Linked DNA regions of Sus scrofa. The protein of the gene in region 7 purifies or fractionates together with the protein of the main gene of each other region. This does not show direct contact. Links are inferred from orthologs where the notes say so. Each region holds a gene or a part of one and is shown on either strand. Other genes may lie near its edges. The genes, in order: POLE, FAM96B, CDKAL1, PRIM1, PRIM2, PPAT and MMS19.

Region 1 (3,500 bases), about 86 Mb from region 7:
CTGAGGCCTAGGAACTTCCATATGCTGCAGGTACAGCCTTAAAAAGCAAAAAACAAACAAAAAACTGTGTACTAAATGCCTCTATGCTCCAGGCATGTTCCAGAGGTGACCTTCTTGCAGCTGCCCTGCAGGAGCCACTAGACAAGCGTCACCCTAGATGGCCTGGGCTCAGCCAGGGCGGCTTCACCCACTGAAGGCTGTTTGGGAAAGCTGACCATGGTTGTCTCTGTGTCACAACAGGACTCCCCTAAAGAGGGCAGAGTGGAGGAGGAGGAAGCTGAGGAGGAGGAGGAGGAGGAGGAGGAGGAGGAGGGAGGCTCTAAGGAGCTAGATGTGGAGGATTTGCTGGAAAACAACTGGAACATCTTGCAGTTTCTGCCGCAGGCAGCCTCCTGCCAAAGCTACTTCCTCATGATTGTCTCAGGTGAGTCATCCACACTTGATGTCATGTTCCAGCCATGCAGTCAGTGGGAATAAGGTGGTTCTGGCAGGAGCAGGACCTGTGTCTGGGCTCCTGAGAGGCAGAGAGGAGACCCTTGGCCCCGCCCAGAGCCAGTGAGGAAGGCTGCCCTGGGGCGTCACTGAAGGGCTCATAGTCCTGCCCCCCCCAGGTTTGTGCATGTGCACAAATAGTGACTAAATTAAACCCCAAGTAGAAAAGTTTAGACACTTCCTGAACAAATTACCCCCCCACCCCAGCTGCCTGGCCTTTGAGGCTCAATTTCTGCTTATAAGAAACTGGTATTTGATTTGGGTCTAAAGGTTTAGTGTTTACAAACCAAGTTATCTAGGTTGATGTGCAAATACAGTGCATAAATTCCACCGCTGTTGTACTTCCGAGCTGATCCTTGGATCGGAACAGTCAGTGAAGAGCATCATAAGTCGTTAGCAGATACACAGACACAGATATAGGTTTCCCCACATACAGAGCGACAGACAGTTTCTTTTATATTTTATATTTCTGTCTACTTGCCTTTGAGTCTTTCATTTTCTTAAGTTCGCTTTTTGAATGACTGACCCGGGTGGAGCTTGGAGAGATGTGCTGACCCTGGGTCACATCCAGTGTGAAGGTGAATACGTGTTGCCTTCTTTGTGCAGGACTCTCTCTGACTATGAACTTGTGCATCAGCGAGGGCTCCTGCTCATTCTCATTTCTCTCTTTGACTTTGGCTCATCTACGTGCAGCAAATGGAATCATCACTAACAATGACATTTCAGCCCAGCCTGGCCGGCGCTGTGAGCAGCATGCGGCTGGGTGCCTCTCATTCCAGTTGTTCCTGGTGTTGCCGACGCCTCTCTCTCCTCCTCTGCAGCCTACATCGTGGCCGTGTACCACAGCATGAAGGAGGAGCTGAGGCGCAGCACCCCAGGGAGCACCCCTGTGCGGAGGAGGGGGGCCAGCCAGCTCTCCCAGGAGGCCCAGGGGGAAGCTGGAGCCCTTCCCGGTGAGCACCCTGCTATGTGAGGCCTACCCTATGTGCTCCTGGAGGGGAGGGGGGTCCCCACTCCTTCCCTGGTGTCCTCATTGCTGTGTGAAGTAGGGAAGCAGCTGCCATGTGGCTTCTCTTCCCAGGTATGATCACCTTCTCACAGGATTACGTGGCGAATGAACTCACGCAGAACTTCTTCACCATCACACAGAAGATTAAGAAGAAAGTCACGGGCTCTCGGAACTCCACTGAGCCCTCAGAAATGTTTCCTGTCCTCCCTGGTTCTCACCTGCTGCTCAATAACCCTGCTCTGGAGTTCATCAAATACGTGTGCAAGGTGAGGGCGCTCACACTGATAGTTTGCACAACACTCACTCACTGCACCATGCTCCATGCAGCCGCTGTGTGAGGCATTTGGGGCTCACAGTAGACAAGACAGGAAAGCCCTGTGTCCTCACGGAGCCTGCCCTCCACTGGGGGACAACTAGTCAGTGAGGGACAGGTGAGCCCAGAGAGCACAGGTGCTGAGGGGTGGGCTCAGAGATAGGGCGGGTGAGTAGGGCCCTCTGATGGGGCCTGGGGCTCAGTGTAGGGCCTGAGAGGGGGATGAGGTCTGAGCAGAGGCAGGCAGAGGCCCTGGGGTGGAGGGTGATCTGGGGGTGCTGGCAGGGGCTGAGCAGGTGAGCCGTGGGATGGCGGGTGTACACCGCTCCCATGGGGCTCATGGACCAGACTAGGAAGTGGAGGAGGCTTTCCAAATGTCCGGGCTGCTGTGGAACCCAAGGGGAGAGCTTGCTGGGACGCTAAATGCCTTTCTGGGAAAGGCAGGCTGAATCAGACGACGGGATAGTATTACCAGATAAGACCCAGCAGGCGTCATCTTGTACAGAGCACTTTACTTACTGTCCATTAAGTAAGTGATCAAGTGACTTCTGATTGTAGTAAAGGAATTTAGTATACCATTTTATTTTATTTTATTTATTTATTTTTGTCTTTTTGTCTTTTAGGGCCACACCTGTGGCATATGGAGGTTCCCAGGCTAGGGGTCTCATCAGAGCAACAGCTGCTGGCTTACTGCACAGCCACAGCAACGCCAGATCCAAGCCATGTCTGCAACCTACACTGCAGCTCACAGCAACGTCAGATCTCTAACCCACTAGAACCTGCAACATCATGGTTCCTAGCCAGACTCGTTTGTCTCCACTGTACCACAACGGGCATTCCAAGTTAATTTTTGTACAATTATGTATGGTCATATTTCTATATAAGCATATCCAATTATTCCAGCACTAATTGTTGAAAACATTATCCTTTCTCTATTTATTATGTTTGTGTCTTTTTCAAAACTGGCTGTGCACGTGTGTGAGTCTGATTCTCTGTCTCCATTGATCTAAATGTCCATCTGTTCTCCAGCACCACACTGTCTTAATTCCTATAACTTTATCAACAAGTCTTAAAACTAAGTGTGTGACTGGTTTAACTTTCTTCTTTTTCAAAATTATTTTGGCTATTCTCAATCCTTTGCCTTACCTTATAAAGTTTGAGTCAGCATATCAGTTTTTACCAAGGAAAAAAACATCTTCCTGGGGAGTTCCTATTGTGGTGCAGCAGAAACGAATCCGACTAGTATCTGTGAGGATGCGGGTTCCATCCCTGGCCTTGCTCAGTGGGTCAAGGATCTGACATTGCCACAAGTGTTGCCGTGAACTATGGTGTAGGTTGCAGATTCCGCTTGGATCCCACATTGCCGTGGCTATGGCTGTGGCTAGCAGCTACAGCTCTGATTTGACCCCGAGCCTGGGAACTTCTACATGCTACAGATGTGCCCCTAAGGGAAAAAAAAAAAATCCTCCTAGATCGTTGATTGGAGTTGTTTTGAGTCTATAGATTAATTTAGGGAGACTTGATAACTAATGTTGAGGCCTCCAATCCATGAGCCGCTAAATCTTTCCATTTCATTATGCTGGGGCTTTCCGCACATAAGTATTGCATATGTTTGCACTTCAAGTGTTTATGGAGTTTGGTGCTACTGTAATGGCACTGATTGTTTGAATTGTTTAATTTTGATTT
Region 2 (3,891 bases), on a different chromosome or scaffold from region 7:
CTGGGTTCCTGTCACCCTGCTTGGGAGCCTCATCCTATAGCTGGGGATTAAGAGAAGCAGAAGTCTGAGGAGGCGCTCAGTGGCACTCGAAGTCCATCCAGCTGCATGGTGAGCTTACAGGTCTTTTTCTTTTTTGCCCTACCATTGGGCACTCTGCTTTTCACCAAGTGGCTGCACAGGAACCCATCCAGCAGTCATTCAGGTCTAGAGATTGGACTGGGCAGGGAGTGGTGAGTTTGGCAGGAGAGACGGACTGAACAGGCCAAGGCCAGTGGCAGGCAGGGGCTAGCACATTAGCTTCCCCTCTCCCCAGGTTCTTCTGGGCTTCTACACAATACCAAGAACCCTCACCTCATACCTGAGTTCACTGTCCTTACAGCCATGGGCCCGACAAGTGTGTCCAGGGGGTCGAGAGAGAGAGCAGACGGAACTGTGATTAGGGAAACCAGGAGAGCTTCCTTGAAGAGGTGCCCTGGTCAGGATTCCCACAGACAGAGAAATGGGAATGACCTTCGTTCAGAGCGAAGGGAACCAACTAAGTAAAGGCAGGGAAGAGTGGCTGCCCTTCTCTCCAAAAACTCCTTGCTTTCTGGGATCGATTTCCTGGCTCTGCCTTCATCCCCTTATTGTCCCAGTTCTGGGGGTCTCTGAGGACCCCCTCCCTGATCGGCAATGGCCTGCCTTTTGAATGCACACCTGCCTGTGGCACTCCTCTTAAGAACACCCTCAACCCCACCTCAGGTCTTTCCTTTTACCCACCTCCCGCCAAAATCGAGTTCAGGCATTAATCACTGGACAAATATTTAAAGAACACCAGCTGGCCCGCGCGCTGGGGACCAGGAGGGCACTCCCGGGCCCAAGGAGCAGTGGGGGCTGCAGGTGCGCCACCGGGAGCTTCCAAAACACAGTGAACCCTGCACGGACAGAGGCAATTCTGGGGAAGGGAGCGGTCGCCTAGTCTAAGGGGCGGGCTTCTCAGAGGAAGCGATGTCTGAAGAAACTTCTCGGTCAATCCCAGACGAACCCTAAGTGCCTCAGTCTCGGACTCCACGGTCTAGCACGCTACCCGCCCGCACGCGGGGCCGGGTCTGCGAGCCTTTGCTGGAGCGCTGCGCATTTCCCCGGGTCTGCGTGGAGAGCGCGCCTACAACACCGCTCCACTCTATCCCCAGGCGGAGTACCGGCAGCGCTGCGTGTCCCTCGCGTTACCCCGTCGCCACGCCACGCCCCCTTCCCGTTCCCCGGAAGTGCATTCGTAGAAGCGGAAGTGCATGTCTACAGTTGCGGCCGAGGTTCCGCGATGGTGGGCGGCGGCGGAGGTGGCGTTGGGGGCGGCCTTCTGGAGAACGCGAACCCCCTCATTTACGAGCGCTCTGGGGAGCGGCCAGTGACCGCGGGCGAGGAAGACGAGCAAGTTCCAGACAGCATCGATGCGCGCGAGATCTTCGATATCCGCCGCTGCCGGGCGCGGGCGGGTTCACGGGTCCTGGGATGGGGTGGGATGTGGTGATGTCCAATAGTTGGTGGAGCTGTATCAGGGCCGAGCATTCCCGGCGGAGGGTTCTGAGTGGGCAGAAGCGCAGAGTCCCTTTTCCTTCACTTAGCACATCTGATTCGCTCCATCAATGACCCGGAGCATCCACTGACGCTGGAAGAATTGAACGTAGTAGAGCAAGTCCGGGTTCAGGTGAGTCACCTCCAGCATCCCGGGGGAGTGACTTGTTCCAGGGAGTCAGAAAGGCTCAACTTTGCTCCGGGGGGTGGGTGTTGTCTCAGCTCACAGAATCCTCAAGGGTCTTTGGAAGGGGGTGGGGTGTGTGCCTATTCTGTAGATGAGGAAACTGCATCCTACAGTGTTTAAGACAACTTGCCTGAAGCAGTAAACTAAGAAGAGGGGCTCTGGGCTAAGGGGGCCATGTCTCCCAACACTCCACCTCCTCAACCAGGTAAGCGACCCTGAGAGCACAGTGGCTGTGGCTTTCACACCCACCATTCCGCATTGCAGTATGGCCACCCTTATTGGCCTGTCCATCAAAGTCAAGCTTCTGCGATCCCTTCCTCAGCGTTTTAAGGTAAGTTGGAACTGAGCCCTAGGCGTGGGGCAGGCATGAGTGTCTGCTACTGAGGAGGGCGTGGAGAGCATGAACATGGATAACACAGTGAGACCTGAAGGGATCCCAGCTCGCAGAGATGAAACCGGGAGGAGGCTTTCCAATTGGATGGGACAGGATTTAGAGGCCCAAGCTGGAAAGTGCAGAAAAGTAGTGAGGAATGTGGCCTTAGGGGGCTGTGGATAGGTTTGGAGCAAGGATGGGGTCCAGGCAGGCTTTTGAGTCAGTAGCAGTTGGCCAGTCTTTTGGGTAGAGTTGCAGTGGCCATGAGTGGGTTTGGGTGTAATGGAAGGACCAGAGTCCAGAGGCATGAATGTGGAGACGGAAAGGGGTGGATGGGTGTGTGAGTGCCCAGACCCCACTTCTCTTCCTCCCAGATGGACGTGCACATTACGCCAGGGACCCATGCCTCTGAGCATGCAGGTAAGCATGGGCTGATGTCAAGGCATTGGCCTGGAGGCTTCCCCTTGCCGTTGTGGTTTGTAGGGCAAGATGGAGGGTAGGGCATGTGGCACGAGGTGGGTGCCCCCTCAGGGAGCTGGCCCGACTTGAGTCTCCAGTGTTTATTGTGTTCTCCCACTCCTACCCTCTCCCTGTCCTGAGTACACAGGACAAGGGTGTGTCTGGCTTTATAGTGTAGGAGGCAGACTTGGGTGGCGGGGTGGGAGAGGTCACAGAAAGGTGCAATAGGTGTGGGCTCAGGTGCTTGGGGTAGCCTGATCAAGCTTGGAGTCTTGGGAAGGAGAGGAGAGGAGGACTTTTTTCTTTTCTTTTGCTTTTTAAGGCTGCAGGTGTGGCATATGGAAGGGGTCACATCGGAGCTGCAGCTGCTGACCTACACCACAGCCACGGCAATGTGGGACCTGAGCTGTGTTTGAGACCTACACCACAGCTCATGGCAATGCCAGATCCTTAACCCACTGAGTGAGGCTAGAGATCGAACCCACGTCCTCATGGATACTAGTTGGCTTTGTTACCGTTGAGCCTCAGTGGGAACTCCCAGAGAGAATGACTTCGTTGGTGGGGGTATAAATATTTTTCACCTCTCTCCTTTCCACCCAGTGAACAAGCAGCTCGCAGATAAAGAGCGGGTGGCAGCTGCCCTAGAGAACACCCACCTGCTGGAGGTTGTGAACCAGTGTCTGTCAGCTCGCTCCTGAACCTGGATTTTTGCTCCCAGTCCCATTCAGGACTCATGGCCTTGTTTTCTTGAAATCACTGACAGTAAGAAACTAACATTTTGCATTTTGTAATAAACCCTTATTTATATTCCTCTTCCAGCATGCCTGAGAGTCTTTCATCTCAGTGGGATTAACGCTGGGTTTGGGGGTGGGGGTGGTAGTGCCTGTAGAGACTGGGTCAGTGAGGTTCAGATCATTTAAAAAACTGTCTCTTCAGAGGAAAGAAAATGTTCTGCTGATGGTTTGATCAGGAAAAGTATGCCAAAAAAATTGAAAAATTAATGTAGTGAACACTCCTATATAAGCACCACCTAAATTTGATAGTTGTTAACATGTTGCAACATTGGCTTTATTTGTGTGTGTGTAGAATATAAATATACTTGAGAGTAAGCTGCAGACACATGACCTTTCACTTCTAAGTTCTTCCTAAGAATAAGCTTGTAATCACAGTGGTTGTTTGGTCCCCAAATGAACAGTTCCCTGATGCTCATATCTAACGTCCAGTCAAATGTGAATTTCCCCAAAGTGTCATTCATAGTTGGTTTATTAATCAGGCTTTAGTCAAGTTTCATGTATTGCATTTGGTTGTCTTACTCTCT
Region 3 (2,750 bases), on a different chromosome or scaffold from region 7:
GACTTGGATCTGACCCTTTAAGAAAAGGAACTGTAACTTATACCTAACCTGGCCCACTTTGCCTATGGTGGGTGTTTGGATGTGCCTATGCTGAAGAAGTAAGTCATGGCTTCTTACGTCAAACTAAAGAGCTTCTGCACAGCAAAGGAGACCATCAACAAAGGGAAAAGGCACCCAACCGAGTGGTAAAAAATATTTGCAAACGATATATCTGATATCTGGTACAGAGTTGATATCCAAAATATATGCAGAACTCATACAGCTCAATAGCAACAACAACAAAAATAAATCTGATTTTAAAAATAGGCAGACGGGGAGTTCCCAGTGTGGCACCGTGGAAACAAATCCAACAGGATTCGGATTTGATCCCTGGCCTTGCTCAGTGGGTTGGTGATCTGGCATTGCTGTGAGCTGTGGTATAGGCTGCAGATGTGGCTTGGATCCTGCTTTGCTGTGGCTATTGAGTAGGCTGGCAACTGTAGCTCTTAGTCCACCCCTAGCCTGGAAACTTCCATTGCTGTGGGTGTGGTGGCCTTGAAAAGCAAAATAAATAAATAAATAAATAAATGGGCAGAGGATCTAAATAGACAGTTTACCTAAGAAGACTTACAGACGGTGGAGAGGTGCATGCAAAGATGGTCATCATCACTAATCATCAGGGAAATGCAAATTGAAACCACAATGGATGTCACCTCATACCTATTAGAATGGGTATTATCTAAAGAGATGAGAACTAACAAATGTTGGTGGATGTGGAGAAAAACGAACCCTTGTGCATTGTTGGTTGGAATGTAAATTGGTGCGGCTACTATGGAAAACCGTATGGACTTTCTTCAAAAAATTAAAAATAGAACTGCCACATGGTCCAGCAATTCAACTTTTGAGTATTTATCCAAAGGAAACAAAAGCACTAACTCAAAAAGATACATGCACGCCCATGTTCACTGCAGTGTTATTTACAGTAGCCAGGACATGGAAGCAACCTAAGTGTCCATCAGTGGATGAATGGATAAGGAAGATGTGGCACATATATACACATATACACACAATGGAATATTACTCAGTTGTAAAAAAAGAAAGAAAAAAAAGGAGGTCTTGCTATTTGTGACAACATGGATGGACCTTGGGGGCATTATGCTAAGTGAAATAAGTCAGAGAAAGATGTAGAATCTTAAAACAAACAAAACAAAACGAAACAAACCCCTGAATGTATAGATACAGAGAATAGATTGGTGGTTGTCTATCACAGTCCGCGCCGGGGCAGTGGCAATGGCAGTTGGGTGACATGATGGGTGAAGAGAGTCAACAGACAAAAGATACAAACTACCATTTGTAACATAAATACATCTTGGGGATGAAATGTATAGCATGCTGATTTTAGTTAACCATACTGCATTGTATATTTACAAGTTGATTAGAGAATAGATCTCATTACAGGGGGAAAAAAATGTAACTATGTTATAACCAAACTTGTGGTGATCATTTCACAATGTATACAAACATTGAGTCTTTATGTTATATACAATGTTATATTTCGATTATATCTCAATTTAAAAAAATAGCTCTTTTTAGGATCCAATACTTAACTGCTATCACAATAGTGCTTTTTTTTTTTTTTTTTTTTTTTTTTGGTTCTTTAAAATCTTTGATTTTTCTCTCTCCTCCTCTCTCTTTATAGGAATTCAGAAATAGGCTTGGGAATCACCTGAATTCAATATCCCACACCTCGACTGGAACTCAACGAAATGCCGCAAGTTCCAGAATGGCACTGCAACTGCAAAGGCTACACCAAGACTGTGCACTGAGATTGTCGGTGGGCCTGGCTCTGTTGGCTCTTCTGTTTGCTTTTTTGGTCAAGGTCTATAATTAAAACATAACCAACTGAAGCATTTGTGAAGGAGAATAAATATCTAATTAAAATCTTCAAAGAGAAGGAGAGCGACCACATCAATTCTCAAAGGGCAATAATTTATACTGGTCTCTGCTCTTCAGCCACACTCTCTAATGAGGCTACCCCTGTCTCACGTTGTGTTGAGCCCATTGGTTATTTGACCTAAAACCTAACACCAGCTGCCATAGCATATCTTTTCAATTAAGCTCCTTTTGGTCTATTTTTAGCGAGAAATGCAAGTGGTTGCATTTTCTTTAAATCACCAATCTTCAGGTCAGAACCTGTTTGTACAGTGGATCGGGTCACCTCTTCCTTATGTGGGAAGAATTTTCCACTTTCAATAAACACTTTAAAATGTATCTTTCTCTTTATGCTTTGTTTGGGGTCTCGATGCTACAAACATCTTATTTCCCACAGCAGATGTGTTCCTGAAAAGTTTACTTGGAAACCTCTTTTTGGAACACGAGTCCTTTTGGAATGCACCAAGAGAGCCTGTCCATTAAAAGACCCTTGGCGACATCTTGAAAAGCCTGAAAAATCACCCACTTCTTCAGCACCCACAAACTTCCAAGGACTGGATTTGTCTGAAACAAGCTCTGCCTCTTTCCCAACATTTCTGATCGATTATATCAATCGCTTATTTCCACCTGACATTGGTGGCCTTTACTAAGAGAAGTGATTTCTTTCACACTAAAAGGACATGAATAAGTCTCATGACCATGAGAATTTAAATAAGTTATTTGGATTGTACAGTCACAGGGAAATCAGGCCCCCAGTGGTAACCATGGGACAGTTTTCTTTTTTAACCCCTACCCTTCTTCACCTCTTCCCTTCATCTCAAAATGTTCCGACCTCCTAT
Region 4 (4,232 bases), on a different chromosome or scaffold from region 7:
AATATAAGCACAAGCAAGAAATTACTGGAGGAAATTTTCCTTATCATATGAGGAAAGCCTCCAATATGAAAGAACGGGGAAAAAATAAACAAAGAAAAAGTGCAACTTTAGAGAAAACAGATGGTGTAACAAAAAAATTAAACTATTATTGATATTCTCAGGTAATATATGTCAGTGAAAAAAATACATGATGCTCTAAAAAACTTCTTGGAGATTTTAAATATAATAGCAGAAAAGGAAACCTCTGAGGAAATTCCCCAGAAAGTAGAGAAAAAGGAAATTTAAAATAGAAAAAAAAAAAAATACAATTAGAGGACATAATATCTGATTGTAGGATTTCTAGAGACCAGAGAAAATAGGTAGGAAAAATTATATTAAAAATTAAAAAAGGGAGTGCAGGAGTTCCCATCATGGCTCAACAGGTTAAGAACTGGACAGACGGAGTTCCCGTCGTGGCGCAGTGGTTAACGAATCCGACTAGGAACCATGAGGTTGCGGGTTCGGTCCCTGCCCTTGCTCAGTGGGTTAAAGATCCGGCGTTGCCGTGAGCTGTGGTGTAGGTTGCAGACGCGGCTCGGATCCTGCGTTGCTGTGGCTCTGGCGTAGGCCGGTGGCTACAGCTCCGATTCAACCCCTAGCCTGGGAACCTCCATATGCCACGGGAGCGGCCCAAGAAATAGCAACAACAACAAAAGACAAAAGACAAAAAAAAAAAAAAAAAAAAAAAAAAAAAAAATTAAAAGAACTGGACAGAGTGTCCATGTGCATGATGGTTTGATTCCTGGCCTCTTAGTGGGTTAAGGATCTGGCATTGCTGCAAGCTGCAGCATAGGTTGCAGATGCAGCTCAGGTCTGGTGTTGCTCTGACTGTGGCATGGGCCTCAGCTACAGCTCTGACTTGACCCCTGGCATATGCCATAAAGAGGAAGAAAGAAAAAAAAAAAAGGGTAGATCCCATTATGGCTCAGCAGAAACAAATCTGACTAGTATCCATGAGGACACAGGTTTGATCCCTGGCTTTGCTCAGTGGGTTAAGGATCCAGTGTTGCTGTGAGCTGTGGTGCAGTTTGCAGATGCGGCTTGGATCCTACGTTGCCATGGCTGTGGCATAGGATGGTGGCTACAGCTCCGACTGGACCCCTAGCCTGGGAACATCCATATGCCATGGGTGCAGCCCTAAAAAGACAAAAGACTAAAAAAAAAAAAAAAAAAAAAAAAAATGCAAAATACTGGGGGAAAATGGTTTACAAACTCAACCATTAGTTAAGCATAATGGTAGAATAAACACATTCTCCAGATACACAAAGTGTCAAATATCTTTTCTTTCATGGACCTTTTCTTTTCTTTTCTTTTTTTGGTTCTTGTCTTTTTGCCTTTTCTGGGGCCCGCTGTAGAGATGTAGAGATTCCCAGGCTAGGGGTCAAATTGGAGCTGTAGCCGCGGCCTACGCCAGAGCCACAGCAACGTGGGATCCCAGACTCGACTGCAATCTACACCACAGCTCATGGCAGCGCCAGATCCTTAACCTGCAGAGCAAGGCCAGGGATCAAACCTGCAACTTCATGATTCCTAGTCGGATTCATTTCTGCTGCGCCACAACGGGAACTCCCATCAAAGAACAAATTTTATTTTCACTACAATCTACTTGCAAAAACTGTTAAAGTGTGGCTCCTTAATTAGAATAAACTCTAAAAATGTATCTCAAAACGCTAGGGGCACCAATCCATTCTTGGTTTAAAAAAACAATAAACTACATAAAAAACTGATTTCTTACTCTGTGGGAATATACCGCGCCTATATCAATCTTGTATGGATTCATTTTCTGCATCTCCTTTTCCAGCTCACTCTGGTTGTTGAAAGATTGGTAGCGAATGTAAATGTCATCTTTCAACGTGAATGAAAATTCACGGTGTTGAAAGTAATTCTTTACCACTGCAAAATGAACATACATTTTAAAAGTTAGTATGGTATTTTATCCAGTTCAGAGTATTAAAACATTAACCAACAAGAAGATATCTTTCACGAACCCTCTGTACTCAACACTGTGCTACATTAAAACAAAAACCAAAACCAAGAACTAGTCCCTAATTTGAAGGAGTTCACCATCCTGCATTTAATAGGGAAAGGTAAAAATGAGGAAAAAGATGCAGAAATATTTTCATGTAGTACCACCTCTCTTTCCTAGGTGGGCACTCAAATTCAGCTGGGAAGAGTTAAGTACCTCTCCTCTTTCAGGAGATGCCCGTCTGTCCCTGATGCAGATTATGTCTCTGCAGCTTCTTGCTACAACCCAGTGGACTCCCTTGCTCCCCGCCACCTCCGCCACCTTCGCTCAGGAACCGAGAAGATTAACACTGCATCAGAGCAGGTAAACGCTGCAACGAAAGTGAGTTCAAACACAAAGTGGGAGGAGCAAAGGCTCTGTCTTTCAGTGCGTGGTGTAGACTGGTCATTACATCCCACTCTAGGCCCATTTACACCTCGGCAGTGGTGGGGAGGGCTCAAGGCAACGCACAAAGGCGCCCGACACAAGGCCTGGAACATGGAAGGCACTTCATATTGTCATTCCAAGGTACCCTCCCAGAACCTCCTCACACTCCCCCCCCACCCCGAGCCATTTCCCACCCCGCTCCCGCCTTCATCACCTCCGCCATAGTTCAGCCAGCGATAGTACTGGGCGTAGGGAAAGAGCCTCCGGTAATAAAGCTTAAGCAGCTCGGGCAGCTCGGTAGGGTCAAACGTCTCCATGAAACGCAGAACTCAACCCAGGCAGGATTAGCACGAGAATTGGCGGGAACCGCACAGTCGAGCTTCCGCAACTGCGCAGGCGCGTAGTGGCAGCGGCCAGCCATCTGCAGGGGCTGTTGGGAATTGTAGTTCTCTTTTGGAGGTTGGCTTGGGTGTGGGAGCGCTACTACGGTCTTCACTCACAGATTTAACATGTAGGTCCACTTCTCTGGTGGGTAGAAGGAAGCCGTGCTCATTGCAGGGAGATCTGCGGAAAGGTGAGCCATGGAACATATTAAGGTTATTAAGATGAAGTGAAAAAGATGTTATCTGCTAACTTTATGACTGTTTTAGAAACAACACATTTAAACAATGTTAACCAGTATCTTTTTAAAGAGGGTTTGGAAATTGGTTCTTCATAGAATAACTAGGTCCAGTATGTGGAAATAAATGATGACCAACCAAATAAGAAAAGCAAAAGCTATTCATTCAAGAGCTTGCCATGTATAGAGTCAGCCACATCACATTACATTTTGGCAAAGGCTCAAACGCAGGCAGAGGAGGGGAGAAAGCTTTGGGGGGGCAGGTTTCACTCTTTTTCTAATGCAAAGCTATTTGTTATGGGGAAGCTGTCTGTGGGCTACCTCAGAGCGGGGTATCCTATGTGACCTATGTGATAGGTTAGGGGTGCATATTTGGCTTTCTGCGGTTGGTCCTAAATTGAGAGTGGGGACAAAAATTAGGGAAGCTGTCAGTTATTAATCAAGTACTGGCTATGTTGGATGGATTGTTATGTAGGGTATTTGGCTTCCTGGAATATCACTAGAGACTTTAGTTTGATTTCCTACAAGTCTGACTTAAAGCAGCCTGACTTCTTGGGCTATTTATTATATAGATAAGGGGGTTGGTTTCCTAGGTAGGCATTGGAGAGGTTGTGGGTCAGAGTTCTGTTTTTTTATATGGTCTGGTCATCGTTTGTTTCTACATTGTCGCTTAAACAGAACACCCAGGAATACTAAAATCAGAGGAAGCTTGCAAAATCATGGAGTGCTTTACAAATTTGAAAGAAGCCTGTTTACTCTTGACATGCACATCTGCCAGTCAGTCTTACCAGGTAGATACATTTCATTACAAATGTGGACTGAGGTGGGCAGTCTGATAATCACCCCAGTGCTGTGTCATTTGAAAACCATTATTTTCACAATAATAGTAGGAAAGCAAGGAGAGTATTCTCTGCTCTCTAGTGGGTTATTATTAGCCTAATTTGAAAGTGATCATGGCCCTTCATCTTGCATAGGCAAAGTGGTCAAACTAGGCACTGGGCAGATCATACTTACTTGAGTATTCCTAGAAATACTATATAAATCTTAGCTGATTTTCACAATCCCTGTGCTTCCTGTTTTGGGTGAATCCCTTGCTGGAAAGGGATTCACTCTAATAGCACCAAGAGTGCCCTGTAGAGTTCTCTTTTGTGGAACCACACTTTTTAATAGGCTTTTTTTTTT
Region 5 (2,508 bases), on a different chromosome or scaffold from region 7:
CAGGCAGAGTGCAGGGCACTGAGATGGGCATTACCACAAGTATCACAATTTTCACCACTTAGCTAATGAGCTTATAGGACTGAACTTGCCAGAGCACTGAGCTGTGGGAGCTGGTGTGGGATCGACACAAGACTTGGCCAGAACCTTCTCACCTTAGTGATGGTCATGTCCCCAGTGAACATAGAGGACATCAGGTGGGGGATCTCCACGGCACATGGTAGAAGACTCCTGCTCGTCAGTAGTATGATTGGTGTTCCATGTTCTGGTGCTCTTCACACAGTTCATCCAGGAGCCCACTATCAAAGGGGCAGACGTTCTTACTAATGAAGAATAAGCTCACGTGGCCAACTTCAAGACCAACAAGAAAGAGGTGAAAAGAAAAACAATTCAACATCTTCACTGGTGACTTGGCAATGTGGTGTCTATTCCAAAATACCACCTTTAAAACTGAAGTAATGTCTAATCTCTTAAGGCATAATTAGACTCTTAAACACAGACACTCTCATTCAACATTTTGATAATTTATTCACAAAGATGGTCCAGAAAAGGACTGGGTCAGAATTACAGTGATAAGGGTTACAATAAAAGCTGTTCTAGTGGTACTATTTCTAGGGGCTGTAACCAATCCAGAAAGCGTCTCATCTCTTAAAAGAGGGCAGAGACCACACCATCCAAGTGCTAGATCTTAAAGCAAAATATAGTGGAGGACATTGTTTTCACTGGCAAGCCTGGCTTCCCAAGAAGTGCGTGCCCACGTCAGTGGATTAAAGTGGGGTAGGGTGGAGGGAGGAGGCAGATGGAGAAGAAAAACACAAAATCATACAACTAGCCAGTAATAGCCGATGAGGAAGCAAGATCACCACGGGCTCAGGAACCGCTCACTGAAGCAGCTCCTCCAGCTCCTCCATGTCCATCTCCAGGGAGGAGTTGAGCGAGGCCAGGGCAGAGGATGCGTCTTTGCTCTTCTGGACATTCGCTCTGGGCTGGGGTGTTTCTGGCTGAGTGGATTCCTTCTTGAGGTCTTTGCCACCATTCAGAATCTTCTGGCTCTCAAAAAAGAACTGGTTTGGATGACTCAAAGAAAAGCCACAGTCATCCACCTGCACAGGAAAGCAAATGTTTACCACATTAATATGTAGCAAACTAAAGGAGCAGGCAGAATGGCAGCAACATGACAATAAAACTATATTGTTTTAAATTAAATTAGAAAAAATAATAAGCAAAGAGAGATATTCCCAACCAAAAAAATCTATACTGAGACAAGTAGTGAATGCAAACAGCCTTTTTTACTCATTGATTTCTAATGTAGACAGTTTCCGTATGTGGGAGAATTCAGACACATGTCCTTTTAATATCTTCATTAATCTAAGGCAAGTTCTAAAATTGGCAATAGCAGTGATGCTCTTGTAGGAATAATCAATAGGAGAGATGCTAACAAAAGCAGATTTGAGAAATAAACACTTCTTTTTAATGATTATGTCAAAAACTTAGTGTTTCAATCTAATTTTCATATCTTATTTTTTTTAAAAAGGAAAGACACTGAATACTAGGCCTAAGTTTGGAAAGTTCTGAGGCCTCTTAATCAAAAGGGTGTGGAAGCAATGGGATTGGCAGCAGGTTTGATCCCTGGCCCGCCACAGTGGGTTGGTGATCCAGCCTGGTTGCAACTGTGGCTTGGATCTGATCCCTGGCCCAGGAACTCTGTGTGCTAGGGTGAGGCCCAAAATAAGAAGAAAAAAAAATAAGAAGGGGGGGTTGTCCCACAAGTAATTAAGAACATAAATTAAAACCCTTAAGCTGAGCAAGCAAATTAAAGAATACAGTTCATAAGGGAAAGTGTTGTACAAAGCTGGTGCTGAAAATACCAGCCAGATTCGTTCAACTGGTGAGAGCCCTATTCTGATAAAACCGATGAGAATCTGGAGATCCCTTGTGGCTCAAGGGTTTAAGGATCTGACATTGCTATAGCTGTCATTTAGGTCGCAGCTGTGGCTTGGATTCAGTTTCTGGCCTGGGAACATCCATATGCTGTGAGGGAAGCCCCCCTCCCCCCAAAAAAACCCTAAAAAAGCACCTAATGAGAATTTGTTGTTGTTTACTACTTTATTAATGTTTAGTCCTTTCAATTTTGCAAAGAAAATTTGTATGTTATTAAATAAAAACACTATTTTCAACAGGTGTAACAGTAAGAGGGCTGGCCCCATGGTAGAGCAGACCAGCTCCAGGCCTCCCAGTGATTGGCTGTGTGGGTGCTCTGGGCAAGTCAGGTAAACTACGAATCTAGACAGGAAAACACTAATGACAGTTGTGGCCCTGGTCAGGTTCGTAAGCTTTAGATGAATTCCTCAACAGCCTGGGTCTTCTCTGCCCCTTTGACCCTCGCCCTCAGCACCCCCCAAGGCTCTGAATGGGGATGTGAGTGTGTCCAGCTCGGTGCTGCTCTGTGGACCAAAGAAGCCAGTGTGTCCAGAGCACTAACCTCTGGGCCTGGCCTGTGTGAGGAGCTCT
Region 6 (3,500 bases), on a different chromosome or scaffold from region 7:
GGTGAGGGTTTGATCCCTCTCCTGGAACTTAATATGCCACAGGCACAGCCAAAAAAAAAAAAAAAAAAAGTATAAATATGAAATAGAAATTATTTTAAAAACTAATTAAGAGATAACCACCAAAAGTTCAGTTCCACTCGGAGCCCCCACCTCTGCCCATGGTCCTGTGTCATGATGATGGGGGGATGGACAGCCACCATCACCATCAGCAACAGACCTGGGTTGAGAGGGCCCCTGTGTGTGCCACTCATGTGGGGATGTGACCTGTTTGTCAGGAGTGTTGAGGGCTGAAAAAATTAGAACCAAATCCCAAACCCTTGGACTTCCCGTTGTGGTTCAGCGGAAACAAACCCGACTAGTATCCTTGAGGACCTGGGTTCAATCCCTGGCCTTGCTTAGTGGGTTAAGGATCCGTTGTTGCTGTGAGCTGTGCTATAGGTCACAGGTGCGGCTCAGATCTGGTGCAGCCCTAAAAGGCCAAAGAACAAAAATCCCAATCCTTTGTGCCTTCCTCCTCCCCCCACCCATCCATTGCTGGTCTATATTCCTGCAGACTGAGTTCTCAGAGACCCTCCCGAAGCCCTCCCCCTGTTTGAAAAGCTTCGGAGACTCCGCCGCTCCAGCAGCATTCTGCATCCCAGCTGTACATTCCTACCATTGGTATATACATACCTACATAGGGTTGCAGAACTAACCGGGCATCCACGCCATGTCTGATCTCTTTCTCCAAAGGCAGGCTGCTGGGTGAGCGGGACTGAACCTTCCCCTCCAGTGGTTACAGCTTCTCTCTTTTCTAAATAGCTTCTGCGCCATGGTATTGGTCTGTCCACAAGCTCCGATAGTGAGATGATCACCCAGTTACTGGCATATACCCCTCCTCAGGAGCAAGATGACACCCCAGACTGGGTGGCCAGGTAATTAGAGAACCAAGCTGAGCCTGCAGCTCCGCTAATGAGAGCTTTGCCTTCGTGTGTTTATAATTAACAGGATTCATTCAATGATCTCCTTACTTCTAGGATTAAAAACTTAATGAAGGAAGCACCCACAGCCTACTCCCTCATCATCATGCACAGAGACGTGATCTATGCCGTACGAGACCCTTATGGGAATCGCCCTCTGTGCATTGGTCGTCTTATTCCTGTATCTGATATAAATGATAAAGGTAATGAACGTCAAAAGGAACATCATTTTATAATGCCCTTCAAGTCATTGATCTGCTCTTGGCACACCCTGCAATTTTTAGATATAGGAATCTTATTAAGTAGAGCTAGGTAAAAAAGAAAAAAAATGGTACTTAGTTTTTAGAGTGCCCATTGTGGCTCAGCAGTAACGAACCTAACTAGTATCCATGAGGACTCAGGTTCCATCCCTGGCCTTGATCAGTGGGTTAAGGATCCGGTGTTGCCGTAAGTGGTGGTATAGGCCAGCAGCTACAGCTCTGATTCAACCCCTAGCCTGGGAACTTCCATATGCCAGAGGTGCAGCCCTATAAAAGACCCCAAAAAAGTACAATTTCTTGAGCGTTTCTGAGGATGAGCCACTTTTCATATATTTGATGGACATTCCTATTTTTTCCTGTCTGAATGGCCTATTCATATCCTTTGCCCAGCTTTTTCATCTGGGTAGCATGATTTCAGTGACTCTCTTGACTTATCAGATGTCTTATGCAAGCCGTGAATCATAATGTGTGAAGGAAACTTGGGATCATTAATTTCACTTTTGGTTCTAATCAAATGAGGAGTCGTGTGTGTGCTCTTAAAGTCATAGTAATTGATATTCCATGAGCTCTTTAATCTTTGTATTTGGTGTTTAACTCTTCTCTTGAAATAGGTAGCATCTTTCAAAGTTTCTTGAGTTCATTAACTGAATCAATTGTCTTGTGATTTACAGAAAAAAAATCTTCAGAAACAGAAGGATGGGTGGTGTCTTCAGAATCTTGTAGCTTTTTGTCTATTGGTGCAAGGTAAGTTGTATCTCACTTAGGAGATCACTTTTTCAGCATCGATACAAAGTGTGTTTCTCTACTTGAGGGTTTTGTTTCTGGAGTCTACAAGAATTCATGTTTATGAATGTAGCTCCTTCTGTACATTGGGCTCAGCAGTTACAATGACCTTAATGTTCCAATGGTACCTTCTAATCCTGGAGCTGGCATCTTCTTTTCAAAACACCATGAGACTTATTTTAGAAAGAAAGTATCTCTTCAACAAGAAATAGTTATGCTTGGAGTTAGGATCCATGAGGACATGGATTTGATCCCTGTCCTTGCTCAGTGGGTTAAGGATCCTGCGTTGAGGAGTTCCCATCCTGGCTCAGTGGTTAACGAATCTGACTAGGAACCATGAGGTTGCGGGTTTGATCCCTAACCTCACTCAGTGCGTTAAGGATCCGTGTTGCCGTGAGCTGTGGTGTAGGTCGCAGATGTGGCTCGGATCCAAAGTTGCTGTAGCTGTGGTGTAGGCCTGTGGCTACAGCTCCGATTAGACTCCTAGCCTGGGAACCTCCATATGCCACAGGGGTGGCCCTAAAAAGCAAAAAAGAAAAGGAAAGAAAGGAAAAGAAATAGTTATGCTCAAAAAATGTTCTCTTTAGCTTTCATTCTTTCAAAAATCAACAAAATGTAGGGCTTTTTTTAAAATTCTTTTTTCTTTCAATTTTTTAGTTTTATTGAAGAAAGTTTATTTACAATGTTGTGCTAATTTCTGCTGTACAACAGAGTGATTCAGTTATACATGTCCACATATCCATTCTCCTTCAGATTCTTTCCCACAGAGATGATCACAGAATATTAGGTTCTCTGTGCTGTACAGCAGGTACAGGCCTGTCAGCATGTGTATATGTTTTTAAATTCTAAATTCAAATGTAGGGGTAACATGGAGTTCCTTCATGGCCCAGCAGGTTAAAGATATGGCGTTGTCACTGCTGTGGCTCTGCTTACAGCTGTGACACAGATTTTAGTCCCTGGCCAGGGAATTTCCACATGCTGTTGGCAGGGCAAAAAAAAAAAAAAAAAAGTTAGGGTTTACAGATGTATGTAAATTACTGAAGTCTTCTTTAACATTGATTTCCAAGGTACTACCGTGAAGTCTTACCTGGAGAAATTGTGGAAATATCCAGACATAATGTCCAAACTCTTGATGTTATACCAAGGTCTGAAGGAAACCCAATGGCTTTCTGTATCTTCGAATATGTTTATTTTGCAAGACCAGATAGTATATTTGAAGGTAAGTCCAGTATCTTTAAGTACTGATATCAATCTGTTATTTATCTCATTGAGACCTGGCAGTTCTTGGGCCCACAGGCTCACCTGGCTCTTCAAACTCACATAAGTATATGTGGGGGATTTGAGGATTGAACCTGCAGGTCGTAAGATCACTATTTATCCTTTTCACCTGATGCCTAGATTTTGTGTTCCTTTAGGAGTAAGGATTATGATTTCAGAAATGTATTAGGCTTAATTTTTTTTAAATAGTGAATTCCCTTGGTTTATTATTTCCAATGTA
Region 7 (4,282 bases):
AGCGATTCCCACCCCGCACCCCACCTTTTCTAGACTCCCAGACGGCCAGGAGGCTCTAAAAAGCCCTGCGGGAAAAATAAAGATTTCTTTCCCAGAGTCCTGCGCTGCTTTTGCAAGTCGGATTCCGGCAGGCACGATCTGCAGCCCGATAATGACACAGTCTTTGGAAGGAGCGCCTGTTCTCATCTCGCTCGCTTCGAGTTCTGGGACGACTGGCCACCCGCGCCGTGCCCCGACGGGCGGGCGTCCGACCCCGGCCCCGCTGCCAGGCCAGCGGCGCCCCGGCCTGGGGCCCTCCTCCCCTCCGCCGGCCCCGCTGCGGTCTGCAAACATTTCCTGCTCCCGCCCCCACCCCCACCCGGAGCTTCCCAGTTGGAGCGAGTTGGGCTCGCAGCCGGGTCAGCGCTCGCAGTTGCCACAAGTCGGCTCCCCCGGCCACTGGGGCCGGGGAAGGGGACCCCCGTCTGCCTCGGAAGCAGCCATCAGGGAAACCTAGGCGCCAGGAGCCGTGGGAGGTAGCTCAGGAAGCCCAGTTCTCGCGCAAGAAGGCGGACAACTGGCTGGGCGCCGGTGGCCCTGCTCCCTTCCCGGTCGTTACCTGCTCGCTTGCGGGGGTGTCCCGGGGCGGTCGGCCTCTCCCGGCGCTGTCTCCCCACACAGTTGCCCATGCTGGCTCTTCAGCCGGGCCCCATGCACCGAAGGCGACGGGATGGTCCGCTGCTCCGCGGTCCTGCCCCGGACGGCGGCGTCCCAGGTCAACGGCTCCGACCGCCCGGCATCGGGCGCTTCCCGATCTCCCCCCTGCGGCGCGCTCTACCCCAGCGCCGGCTTCGCCACAAACTTTGCGGGCAAGGAGAAAGAGGGAGGTGGCCGACTCCCCAACACAGTCCCAGGTGGCCGGGCCAGGGGGGCCCGCGACGGTGCCCGGCTGGAGACCAGCTCCGCTGAAGGGGCGGAGAGAGGGGGCGGGCACCGCCGCTGTTACTCCCGGCTCGCTCGGGGCTCCCAGCTGGGGCCGGCCCCCCGGAGCCTGTCACTCACCTGCCTAACCCCGCCCCAGCCCAGCCCTGCTCCCTGCCGCCGGCTCGCGGTGCCCGCGCCGCCGCCGCCGCCCGCCCCAGGTGCGCATGTGACCGACGGCACCGCCCCCTCGGGCCGGGCCTGGTTTTCTCATTGGTTCCCCCCAGGGTGCGTACCGCCCCTCGGCCCCACCCAGACAGGTGCCCGCCCCGCCGCGGGTCTCCCGGGAAGCTGGGCCGGGAATTATTCGCCCTCAATGGCCCCCGGCTGCGTGCCCAGCAGCCGCCTTCGCTCCCTGAGCCACCGCCCCGACTCCGGGCCCCGCCCCTTGGGGAGGGGCCGTCCCATCCCACCCTGGAACTGCCTGGCCTGGAGCCGGCAGGCACGTGATCCAGGGAGCGCCCCGCCCCCTCAGCCTTCGCCAGGCGATTGGCTCAGGAGGCGCGTGCGCTGAGAGGCCCATCCCGTGCCACCGCCCATTTCCCCTCCCACCGTCTCCAGTTCGCGTCATGGCCGCCGCCACCGCTCTGGAGGCGGTCGCGCCTACGGGCGCCCTGTGGGGCCTCGTGCAAGACTTCGTCATGGGTCAGCAGGAGGGCCCCGCAGACCAAGTGGCTGCAGGTACGGCAGACGGCGCCGCGCGGCTTCCGCTTGGGGGCCTCCAGGAGGGAGCGGCCTCAGCACGGGCGCCGGGCGGGAAGGGAGCGGTGACTTTGAGAGATTGGTCCCGGGCTGGTTGTGAGCACCGCGTGCTTAAGAACCATAACAAATTGCGAGTCGCTTGCAGTCTTCCTTAAAGCGCCCTTATGACCCTCGTTTTGGTTTATAGCCACCCTGTGCACCGGCCTGGGTTAGGAAAATCATTACCATTTCGCAGGTGTGGAAACTGAGGCCCAGAGAGGGCCAGAGGCTTCCTGGGGGAGTTGGGACTTGGACGCAGGTCCTCCAGTTCAGAATCAGGTGCTCACTCCGCGAAAGCACGTTGTTTCGAGGAAGTTGATGTGACGAGAAGCATCTTCGGCAGCATCAGCTCCAGTCGCGTGGCATGTTGGGAGTGGCCGCGCGACCCAATCTCTGACTGGCTGTAATTAATTGGAGAGAGGAGGAGAGAAACCAGCCTAGGGGGAGTTTGAGATGTTCTGCGTATCTCTTCCCCCCATTCTTGTTCAAGTTCTTGATTAATTTGCTTCGTGCCTTTTTTATGTGGTGTGTGTTTTTATATTTTTCCCAGAACTCCAATTTCCTGCTTTTCACCAGTTTAGGGATCTCTTAGTTCTGACAGCTTATCTAAAATTTGAGCGGAGCAAATGACAGATTTCCTTGAAATTCTGAGACTTCACTCTTTTAGAAAAAGAAAAATCTAAAAAGTTATTGAATGTTAGGAGGCCTTCGGACCTTGTGTCTATGTAATAGAATACAAAATAATCTTGTCAGTACAGATAAGTTTTGTCTTTATTTTTGGAAATTGCGCGTGTTTGGGGAGAAGTAAAGGATACATTTCTCTTGAAAAGTGAACACACTTGCTTTTAAAATATGTGGGAAATGAATAAAGTGAACCTGTCAGAAGTATAATACTTTGGGAGTTCCTGGTGGCTCAGGAGGTTAAGGATCTGGTGTTGTCGCTGCCATGGCTTGAGTGTGGCACTGGTTCGATCCCTGGCGGGGGAACTTCCACGTGCTGCCTGCTTAGCCAAAAAAAAAAAAAAAAAGGAGTTCCCGTCCTTACGCAGTGGTTAACGAATCCGACTAGGAACTATGAGGTTGCGGGTTGGATCCCTGGCCTTGCTCAGTGGGTTAAGGATCCTGCGTTGCCGTGAGCTATGGTGTAGGTCACAGACACGCTCGGATCCTGCGTTGCTGTGGCTCTGGCGTAGGCCGGTGGCTACAGTTCCGATTAGACCCCTAGCCTGGGAACCTCCATATGCCGCTGGAGCAGCCCAAGAAATGGCAGAAAGACACACACACAAAAAAGTATTATACATTATGGCAATATTCTACTTTCAGTCTTAGCACCATTATTGAACACATTATTCTTCAAACGCAGTGCTAAGCAGTAGGAACATAAATATCAATTAGATGAGATCTCTGCCTGCCAGGAACTTATAGTGTGGTGGGAGAAACAATCATTTGGACAGGTAGTATGCTACGCTACGAAAAGGGCCGTAAGAGGTATGTACAATATGACGTGGAACCAGCAAGGAGCAAATGCCTGATATAGCCATTCCGCTAAGCTTAACCTCTTACAGCTTTATGCAGTATAGTGTGTTTTCAGTGCTTCCAATTAACAATGGCAGTGTATTATCAATGTCATTTTCCCCAGTGTTGTATTATGAAAAATTTCATACAGCAAAGTTTAAATAATTTCATAAGGAACACACATACACTCACCACCTAGATTCTACCATTAGCATTTAACATAATTAGCATTATCATGTAGCTATCCATTTAAATTGCAGATATCAGTATGCGTCCCTCTAACTGCTTTTGTATGCGTATTGTTGACTAAGGTATAAAACTTGTAAGACAAAGTGTACAAATCTTAAGCATAGTTCACTGATTTTGAAAAATTCGTATACCTCCTCCCACCAAGACAAAGAACATTACTATAAAAGGTGTCATTCGTAACTCTTCTTTCACATTTATACATTATGAACACAGTAATTTAGGGTTTTTCAAATTCAGAACACTTTTGAGAAGAAAGCATGAATAAGGACTGCCAAGTTCTTATAAATACTTTGTAAAATTTACATTTTTATGCCTGAAAAAAAATGGCCTAGACTATTGTCTAGTTTAAATTTAACTCAACTCTGCCAAGACTGTAACACTAGCCCTTTTGCAATTTAGCCCTCCTGACTAAGAAAGGAGGTTGGTAATAACAGATAAGGTTGAAAAGGTTTGGTGGGATTGGATTATGCATAACCTTAGATTCTGAGGATTTGAATGACTTACTGTAGGTGGTTGGAGTCAGTGTAGATACTTGAGCAAGGAAGTCATATGGTGAAGGTGAATTTGAGAAGGATTAAACTAGTGTACAGTGTTAGATGACAGCCTTAGAGTTGTTGAAGTTGACAGAGTTTTGAAGCATCCCTAGTGTAAGATGTGCTTTCCTATCCTCCAGCCTAAGTCAAGCTTTATTAGTGCTGAAGGGGCCAGATTTCTGTTCAGCCACTCACAGCAGCGGCCTCTTCTACAAATTGTAAATGCAGAAGGAACACCCTGTGATCACAAAGGCAGCTACTACCAACTTTGCGTTGCACCTAGG

What was found.
Region 1: the proteins of MMS19 (region 7) and POLE purify together in Homo sapiens (affinity purification with western blotting; 3 studies listed by BioGRID and IntAct, with this or other methods). This does not show direct contact. The link is inferred for Sus scrofa from reciprocal best matches to the Homo sapiens genes MMS19 and POLE.
Region 2: the proteins of MMS19 (region 7) and FAM96B purify together in Homo sapiens (affinity purification with western blotting; 11 studies listed by BioGRID and IntAct, counting the BioPlex papers as one, with this or other methods). This does not show direct contact. The link is inferred for Sus scrofa from reciprocal best matches to the Homo sapiens genes MMS19 and CIAO2B.
Region 3: the proteins of MMS19 (region 7) and CDKAL1 purify together in Homo sapiens (affinity purification with mass spectrometry; 4 studies listed by BioGRID and IntAct, counting the BioPlex papers as one, with this or other methods). This does not show direct contact. The link is inferred for Sus scrofa from reciprocal best matches to the Homo sapiens genes MMS19 and CDKAL1.
Region 4: the proteins of MMS19 (region 7) and PRIM1 purify together in Homo sapiens (affinity purification with western blotting; 3 studies listed by BioGRID and IntAct, with this or other methods). This does not show direct contact. The link is inferred for Sus scrofa from reciprocal best matches to the Homo sapiens genes MMS19 and PRIM1.
Region 5: the proteins of MMS19 (region 7) and PRIM2 purify together in Homo sapiens (affinity purification with western blotting; 5 studies listed by BioGRID and IntAct, with this or other methods). This does not show direct contact. The link is inferred for Sus scrofa from reciprocal best matches to the Homo sapiens genes MMS19 and PRIM2.
Region 6: the proteins of MMS19 (region 7) and PPAT purify together in Homo sapiens (affinity purification with mass spectrometry; 3 studies listed by BioGRID and IntAct, with this or other methods). This does not show direct contact. The link is inferred for Sus scrofa from reciprocal best matches to the Homo sapiens genes MMS19 and PPAT.

Annotation. Positions count from the first base shown.
Region 1 is NC_010456.5:22,846,646-22,850,145, forward strand, and holds part of POLE (DNA polymerase epsilon catalytic subunit A), read left to right. Parts: intron 1-240; coding exon 241-424; intron 425-1,313; coding exon 1,314-1,445; intron 1,446-1,573; coding exon 1,574-1,767; intron 1,768-3,500. UniProt on the Homo sapiens protein: Catalytic component of the DNA polymerase epsilon complex. Participates in chromosomal DNA replication.
Region 2 is NC_010448.4:27,609,969-27,613,859, reverse strand, and holds FAM96B (mitotic spindle-associated MMXD complex subunit MIP18), read left to right. Parts: upstream 1-1,242; 5' UTR 1,243-1,300; coding exon 1,301-1,448; intron 1,449-1,607; coding exon 1,608-1,687; intron 1,688-1,946; coding exon 1,947-2,072; intron 2,073-2,488; coding exon 2,489-2,534; intron 2,535-3,173; coding exon 3,174-3,271; 3' UTR 3,272-3,391; downstream 3,392-3,891.
Region 3 is NC_010449.5:16,567,394-16,570,143, forward strand, and holds the end of CDKAL1 (threonylcarbamoyladenosine tRNA methylthiotransferase), read left to right. Parts: intron 1-1,678; coding exon 1,679-1,870; 3' UTR 1,871-2,250; downstream 2,251-2,750. UniProt on the Homo sapiens protein: Catalyzes the methylthiolation of N6-threonylcarbamoyladenosine (t(6)A), leading to the formation of 2-methylthio-N6-threonylcarbamoyladenosine (ms(2)t(6)A) at position 37 in tRNAs that read codons beginning with adenine.
Region 4 is NC_010447.5:22,086,614-22,090,845, forward strand, and holds the start of PRIM1 (DNA primase small subunit), read right to left. Parts: upstream 2,801-4,232; 5' UTR 2,749-2,800; coding exon of another isoform or gene 2,646-2,748; intron 2,376-2,645; 5' UTR 2,222-2,375; intron 1,933-2,221; coding exon of another isoform or gene 1,829-1,932; coding exon 1,775-1,828; intron 1-1,774. UniProt on the Homo sapiens protein: Catalytic subunit of the DNA primase complex and component of the DNA polymerase alpha complex (also known as the alpha DNA polymerase-primase complex - primosome/replisome) which play an essential role in the initiation of DNA synthesis.
Region 5 is NC_010449.5:28,274,126-28,276,633, forward strand, and holds the end of PRIM2 (DNA primase large subunit), read right to left. Parts: intron 1,101-2,508; coding exon 879-1,100; 3' UTR 501-878; downstream 1-500. UniProt on the Homo sapiens protein: Regulatory subunit of the DNA primase complex and component of the DNA polymerase alpha complex (also known as the alpha DNA polymerase-primase complex) which play an essential role in the initiation of DNA synthesis.
Region 6 is NC_010450.4:55,659,578-55,663,077, reverse strand, and holds part of PPAT (amidophosphoribosyltransferase), read left to right. Parts: intron 1-801; coding exon 802-914; intron 915-1,016; coding exon 1,017-1,162; intron 1,163-1,890; coding exon 1,891-1,963; intron 1,964-3,069; coding exon 3,070-3,221; intron 3,222-3,500. UniProt on the Homo sapiens protein: Catalyzes the formation of phosphoribosylamine from phosphoribosylpyrophosphate (PRPP) and glutamine.
Region 7 is NC_010456.5:108,883,788-108,888,069, reverse strand, and holds the start of MMS19 (MMS19 nucleotide excision repair protein homolog), read left to right. Parts: upstream 1-1,482; 5' UTR 1,483-1,529; coding exon 1,530-1,641; intron 1,642-1,887; exon of another isoform or gene 1,888-2,536; intron 2,537-4,282. Other genes in the region: UBTD1 (ubiquitin domain-containing protein 1), read right to left, coding at 599-668. UniProt on the Homo sapiens protein: Key component of the cytosolic iron-sulfur protein assembly (CIA) complex, a multiprotein complex that mediates the incorporation of iron-sulfur cluster into apoproteins specifically involved in DNA metabolism and genomic integrity.